Nothobranchius furzeri: one gene and its partner. The protein of the gene in region 1 purifies or fractionates together with the protein of each later gene. This does not show direct contact. Links are inferred from orthologs where the notes say so. Each region holds a gene or a part of one and is shown on either strand. Other genes may lie near its edges.

Region 1 (4,331 bases):
AAAAAGGACGGGGGAACACATTTATGACGTCTTTTTAAACTAAAATTTCTAGCGCGACCTGCCTGCTTCACTAAGTCACTGCTTATTAAGGTTCGTCCAAAATTACCGTGGCCCACCCAAAAATGAAAACCTGACGCCACGCCTGTTATAAACCTCTGCAAATTGTTGTTCTTCACTTTATCAAACTCAGACTTTGTACAGCTAATGTCAAGATGTAAAATTATGAATTCAGTCGAGCTCTTCCGTCCCTCCCCTGCTCTCCTGGAAACCTGACATCGGCTGTTAGAAGCGGGAGGTGAAGAAGGAGATGAGGCAAACAGAGTGAGTGTGCGACGTAAAGAAACCAGATTGGCGTGGAGGTGAGCAAAACAGCTGGAAAAGTGTGGGTGTTGAATCCCCCACGGGTGCGATGCCCCCGGCTGCTGTCACCTGTTGTGAGCAGCGCTCTGCTGTCTGAGGGTAGGCCCCGCCCACAACGCTGTGGCTGCTGCGGTGTTTTCTTTACCGTGGGAAATGGGTAATAATGGCTCTTTGATGGGAACAGGTTGCCGACCCCTGGTATAAGATCTGAGCTGGTAAAACAAAAATCCTCATCAGCAGGCTTTTTTGAAAGTGGGGGAGGGGGGGGGGGGGGGGGGGACAGCTGCCAATCACAAATTTTGCCGGGGACATGTCCCTGGCGTCCCCGGTTAAAATGACGCCTATGGAAACGAGGAAAACATGCTAGATACTGGCTCTCAAGGACCAGGAGTGAGTACTTTAACAGCTGAAATGTCTCCCCAGCTGTCCTAGTGTCTACAAAATTAATCATGAAACTAAACAATTCAGCGGTGCTCATGATCTAAAACATGTAGGAAACTTGCTGGAACCAGACTGCAGCACCATGTATGTTAGCTCAATTTTTACAGCCTTCTGTTGGGACTTCGTAAAAATTGCAACTTCAAACTGGCAGGCTTGCCAGTTTGAAGTTGCAAGTGGAATATTCTGGCCACAGTGGGTGATGGGGGCTGGGTGGCCTTTAAGAAAACATGTAAAGGGTCGTTTTAGCACATACTGGCTCAATAATTGATGATTTAAAAATATGAGAAAGTTGCAAATCTCTTTAAATAAGTTCAAGGAGGAATCTTAATTAATCAAATTCATTTGATCCTACTCTAATCTCAGTTTTACTTTAAGTATGTATCTTATTGATATTTCACAATTAATTTATAGGCAAATATCAAAGAAATAAGAACGAAATAATTTGATTATATATTACAACAACCTGCCACACTTGTCACTGGTGATACGTCAGTGAGCACTCCGCCTCTGAGGAGCTGTGATTGGCTCGTGCTTGCTGCTCCTATGTCAGCTAACCGACGAAAACAAATCCCTTCAGCGGTGCTTCAGCCAGGACAGTTAGCTATTTTCTGAGGCACCGAGCTGGTGACAAGTCGGCGCTGTTGTATCAAAGCACGCCTGAATGTGTAGAGATAGCAGTGGCCGTTTTGCATCGACTTGAGCCCTTAATGCAACCCACCCTGTTTGCCAGCCACAATGTCCGACGCTGCTAACGTTACTTCCACAGAAAGCAACGGAGACTCGGGGCTTAACGGTAAGCTAAATGCTACTGAGCTTAGAGCTTCAGAACACACTGACGCTTTGTGCATGTGTGCGTGCCTCTTTTCTTCTGAAGCGTCTTGATGAATTTTACTCGTATCCGAAAGGCGTCTGCTGTTATAATTTCAACAATAAGAGTTGTTTATTCGGCAAGTATGTATTTTTCTCCGCGAGTTCGGTTCTTACTGAAGGGGGAGGAACTAGAACGTTGTGTTCCGTGTGTTTATTGACAGTAGCTGAACCAATAATCTTTCAGGAAGCTTGAATGACGGGCAACGGAGCCAATCAGCGATCAATACAGAGGCTGTGGGTGTGCTTTAGACTTGTCAACAAGGCTCGATGGAAGATGTCCAATTTGATTAAATCGGCGCATAATAATTTTGATAATTTACGAAAATGTTTGTATTACAGTCATTCTAATCCACAAAACGCTCTAAAACGTGTAAACATATTAAAGCTGTTATATTTGGCATGCTATTTATGGACACAACGACAAGGGGACAGAAGTTTTGGACATGAGTAATATGGGGGAAGTATCACATTTCTCAGCTGTTCCAGAGTACATGAAAGTTTATTTCTCCATGTCAAATCTGATGACAGGAAATATTGATGTTTATACTGGATTAAAAAAAACTTTAAAATGTCTAATAACCAAATTATTGGCCATGGATGCCCATTATGCTCAGTCTGTGCCTACATCTTCTCTTACATAATACAAAGCAACAAGTGTTATGTATTTCCATATGGTTTTAGACAAGACCTGTCTGTAGATCTTTTCTGGCTTAAAGGGACTGTAAGGAAGTTTGACAGTCAAAGCATGTATAGAAATAATAAATTTCTTCTTTATACATTCTCCTGCAATGCCCTGGTCCTGTCGAATGAGCCCTGGCATTTTTACTTTGATTGCCTGTTTTTCTGTAAAATCACAGAAAAAGAGAGATGCTCGGGTCGAGCAGGCTGCTTCATACGCGTTCACACTCAGGTATAGCCCGTAGCATTTGCTATCCGTAGCTTTAGCAGCAGAGAGAGAGGCAGTGCCAACTCAGCGACTTTGTCGCTGTTCCTAACGCCTAGTGACAATCCTAGCTACATTTCAGAGGACCCTTAGCTACTTTTTGTAGAACTTTCTTCTAGATATTTCCTGCAAATTAGCAACAAAATAGCCATTTTCGCTCCGAACTGTTCTTTGGATTGACGTTGTTTCAGCTGTCATCAACGATATAAACGTTATAGATAAATTCAATGTCACTGGTGCTTTAGCTCACCTAGTAAGATGTCTGACTCTCATGCGAAAAGCCTGGGTATGATTCCAGGTGTGAGCATAACTTGTGATTAGGAGTTTCTTTTTTACATTAATGATATATTTTTTTACAGTAATAAGACGCCCACATTTTTATTTGAGACTCGCCGAAAGGCATTGAATTCACGGCAATGACTTAATCACTTATATCGATACACTGAAAATCACCATATTTGATGTACCGGATCAATATTTGAATGCAGTGCATTGATTTATTATTATAATTTTTTGGGAGAATTTACAAGCAAACACTGTGCACTGTCCCAAATAAATAAATAAACAAATAAAATATGCTCTAATAATTTTATGTGGTGCAATTTAAACTCCGGCGACTAGGTGGCAGTAGTCTTTACCAGCTTATTTTGATGGAACAATGAAATCTTGTGATAACTCTGGATGTGTCTTGGAAGAGTCTTGCCTGGGTTTTCCAGTTAAACTCAGTTTTAAAAATTACAAATACTGTCTTTTAATGACGCAATGCCATCTACACCTTGAGTCACCAACTCCGGTCCTTGAGGGCTAACATCCTGCACACGTTAGCTGTTTCTACACACCTGATTCTTGTTCTTTGGGTAAGGCAGACTGGACGCCTCGCGGCGTATTGCTGCCACAGCAACACTATGCCTACAGCCAAACCTGGCTACACTCTGTCATAGACACCAACAGCTTCAACAAGGAGGGCTGCCACCGGGGACGACCAAAACGCCCCAGTACACACCCCCATAGCCGCTGCCTGCAACACATCCAGCTGCTTCAGGGTGGAAGGCGCAGCCAAACCATACAGGAAACCCCCATAATCTAAGGCCGACCTGATCATACCCTCATAAACCAACATCAAAGTGGCTCTGTCTGCCCCCCAGTCCGACCCGGCCTGACCCCGGGTTTCCACAGGAGCTGTCAGCAGTACGTTACTGCAGCAGCATGTCTTGCTCGCGTAAGCTGCTGCTTGGCCCTTCCCACGAGATGCGAAGCAGCAGGGGAGCAGCTGTCACCGACCGAGCACGAAGTCAGAGTGACTTCGTCAGTAAACACAACAACAAGCAGGAGAAAACTACAACATGGCCCCAAAATGTTTGTGTTTTATGTTCTGTCCGTTTTATAATCGCAAATACGGACCTGAAAAACAAAGGAGACCGCTAGCTAGGTGATAACTTCTCACGGGGCCGCACAGTTGGTAACCTTTTTTAAAGTAAAGCAACCGGAAGGCAGTACGTTCTTTATTCTGAAAATCTCGGGAGCTCCTCTCCATTTTGGCGTCTGATTTCCTGTCTTTCCTTCCCCAAAAATGTCGAACTTGACCCATTTCAGAGGCGTCGCGCGTAGAAAATAGAACCGGCGCGTAAAGGCCGCGACATGCTGCTCCTGAGACGCGGCCGACTCGCGCTGCTGACGGCTCCAGTGTAAAGCCGGGGTGACACCTCATTACACCTCT
Region 2 (3,414 bases), on another chromosome or scaffold:
TGGCAACTGTAGCGTTGGACTCCCATGTTTTCATGCTGGCTGCTGAGCTGCAGGAGAGGTTATCGTCCTCACTTTGCTTCGCTCTCTCAGGAACTGTAGAAAGGATTTGTTGTATTTTAGTAAATGCTGCTTCTTTAGTAATAATCTATGTTGTAACCGTGGTTTTACTTATTTAAATAAGGACAGATTCCTCTCCTCGCAGAAGGCAGTAACATCTCCTCCTTGGTCTGTTTACAGCAAACAGCCGTCCTGAGCATCCTGACGTTTTGTACGGAGATGAGACACCTCAACCTGGGCAGCTGTTTGAGGGTGAGCATGAACGACGGGTGGGATGAGTGTATCGTACGCACTCTGTAAGTAAATCATGGAGCTTATAGGACTGAAACCCAGGGTTCTGTTGTTTTTGTACGAAACCACAACACAGAGAAAATGTGTGAAGTCCAAACAGAGCTCAGGTTGTTTTTCACCAGGGTTTTTATTCTAACATGCTATTGAAGACATTCTCTGCTAAAATTAATTAAATAACCAATTGTACCACATTGTCATAGTTTTCCCTCTTGACCAGATCTTTGAGCCAGTTTATTGCTGTGGGAGACAGCGTTGCAGAACTGGAGTCACTTTTTGCTGCCAGGGCTGATTATTTTAGTGATTTTTTAAATGCAGTTTAGTCAGAAAGTGTCATGATTAAGTCTGATTTATTGTTACCTTTGCAGCCAGCTCCTCCCAAAGTTGGTTTGACGTTTTTCACCTTCTGACACCTGTGATGACTCGTTTAAGAGAAAACTGACCTTTTGAGCATCAGAGTGAGGCCTGAAGACTCACACAAACATATCAAGAACTCAAACTTGTTTTGTTTATCGTTTGTGACCACTGAGGCTAGTGCGCCTAGAACCAGAAGGGATCTTAAATGCACAACAGGTTGGAATGGAGAAGGGCTCTTTAAGTCTGATTTAAGACCAGTGCCAACATCTGACTAACCATAACCACCTGCACATGGGCTAGAACGTTTAAGAAGATCTCTGTCTGAACTCCACATCCACTCCATTCTACTCACAGTGTTGTTTTCTCAGTCCTAATGTTTGAGATGCCCACATGTAGCAGAAATATTCTCAAATCAGAGCTTATAAATCACTGCAACACTGGAGGAAGTTTCTGTAGGCATCTGCCATGAATCCTCCTATTGACAGAGGAAATGCTTCCTTCTTCCACTGTAGATCGACGACTACGATGTTGTGTCCAGCATGATAGCCGCTCGCTGTCGCTCAATGCGCTCCCTGGACCTGTGGCGGTGCAGAAACCTAACAGATAGAGGCCTGACCGAGCTCGTTTCTGGCTGCAGGTAGGCCTCCTACTGCGTCAGCAGCTCTGGTGAATGATGTCAGTGATTCCTGTGGTCCTCTTTTGTTTGGTCTCACAGGTGAATCTGTGTTTAAGGAGCAGGGAAGTAGAACGTAGCTGTGATCCTCATTCGTATGAAAGAGTTTAATAATGTGTTTACAGTAACTCAGCGCTGCTGGTCGTCTGATTTGGTCATTTAAGTTCTCGTGGTTCCTTCTGCTCAGGATGTTGGAAGAGCTGGATCTGGGCTGGTGTCCCACCCTGCAGAGCAGCACCGGCTGTTTCCAGCAGCTCGCCCGCTGCCTGCCTCGACTGCGTAAGCTCATCCTCACCGCCAACCGCACCGTCTCTGACTCGGACATTGAGGAGCTGGCTTCCTGCTGCCCTTCGCTGCAGCATCTCGACATACTCGGTATGCTCTTGTCACGCGTGTTTCTGTTTCTGGATGAGGGCCACGGTCACGTTACTTATCTTTATTTTCTGTCTGTAAAATATGCAGATTCTTGGTTTTAAACCTCCAGTACAGATAATTTAATTACCTAAAGAGATAAGGCTCCATCAAAGAGGAATGATTCAACATGCACAGCATTAGGCCCCCATTGTTTAATAGACTGTTTTGCTCTAAATGCCCAAACATAAATAGAAAAAGTCCTGCGGCCTCATTTATCAAGCTTGCTAACGCACGAAACGAGGTTGAAAAACTGCATAAGCAACTTTACACGCAAACTTTGGGATTTATGAAAGAAAACTTAGCGGAAAAATGTGCGCAACTTTAAGTTGACTAAGGACCTGGCTTAGGCACATGTTGGACATGAAGAGCACCTGCAGTGCTGCTGCTGAGAAGGATAAAAGTATGAAATCCTGCAGCATTATCACTTGTACCGCTTCGTTTTCACACAGAACAAGACCCCCCACACGCACACACTTGTGCGTGCACACACACATGCACGCACACTCACACACACGCGCGCGCGTGCACACACACACACAGCCTGAAGCGCAGAATACGGAATGCAGAATATCAGCAGGGGACAGATTGAGACAGAACATCATGCGTCTGTGGCAGTGTGTGTGTCCTGTCACTGTGACCCGATTGATCAGGCGCCCTGGCTAGTTGAACAGGGGAGATCTCCGTTTGGCAGACTGGTTAGCACGTGTGACTTCCACCCGGGAGTCTGGGGATCGGATCCAGATGGGACCATTTTTTTTACATCCGCCACAGATCTCTCTGAAGAACTCAGCATTGACGGCTTCAGCAACGCTGTGACACTCCGTGGATTTTCTCTTATTTGTTTTGCAAAAGCACTTCCTTTCATTTCTCCACCTCACCCACAAGTACCTGAATTTCTGCTTCTATGAAATTGCGCTTCCTTGATCTGCGGTCGCCATCATCATTGGCGGAGCACTACAACAGCCGGCTTATGTATATGCATGAGATCCACAAGGCACTTTGCATTGACTGTTTATGGCAGTAAGTGGGTGTGGTGAGGGCAGATGTGACTAAAATACAGCTGAGAACCTTTCGAGATAGTTTCTGATTTATAAAGCAGAGATTGCGTGCAGCCGTGCGTACTCCATGTTTGATAGATCACAAACCTACTTGGCGTAAATACATTTTTTTTGCTGGGCTTAAGTACGGTTTTAGTAAGGATTCTACGCAATGTTTGATAAATGAGGCCCCAGAAGAATTAAGCAGCTGCTGAATAAATGATTTTATCATCAGACTAAAGGTTTTGACATCTTGCTTCAGTGATGCAAACTTTCATTTCTCTTTACTGTTTTGTAAACATACAATTCAGGCAAAGTGTCTTTCCTGTTGTCTTCTTAGCTTTGGTGTGGTTTTACTAACAAACAGGTACACGCTTGGTGAGTGCTGCCTCGCTCAAGAAGCTCCTCCAGTCGTGTCCTCGCCTCGTCCTCCTGGACGTCTCCTTCTGCTCACAGATAGACACTCGGGTCGTCCAAGAACTCTCCAGCCTCTTCCCCAAAGTGGCCATCAAGAAAAGCTTCACTCAGTGACCCCGCCACTGTCTCAGCTCTCGCTGCCGAGGAGCATCGAGCTGCAGGGACAGGCTC

The links.
Region 2: the proteins of bnip3lb (region 1) and fbxl4 purify together in Homo sapiens (affinity purification with western blotting; 4 studies listed by BioGRID, with this or other methods). This does not show direct contact. The link is inferred for Nothobranchius furzeri from reciprocal best matches to the Homo sapiens genes BNIP3L and FBXL4.

What each region holds. Positions count from the first base shown.
Region 1 is NC_091746.1:40,528,089-40,532,419, forward strand, and holds the start of bnip3lb (BCL2 interacting protein 3 like b), read left to right. Parts: upstream 1-1,330; 5' UTR 1,331-1,536; coding exon 1,537-1,594; intron 1,595-4,331.
Region 2 is NC_091745.1:52,301,806-52,305,219, reverse strand, and holds part of fbxl4 (F-box/LRR-repeat protein 4), read left to right. Parts: intron 1-237; coding exon 238-309; intron 310-1,214; coding exon 1,215-1,339; intron 1,340-1,562; coding exon 1,563-1,750; intron 1,751-3,193; coding exon 3,194-3,357; 3' UTR 3,358-3,414. UniProt on the Homo sapiens protein: Substrate-recognition component of the mitochondria-localized SCF-FBXL4 ubiquitin E3 ligase complex that plays a role in the restriction of mitophagy by controlling the degradation of BNIP3 and NIX mitophagy receptors.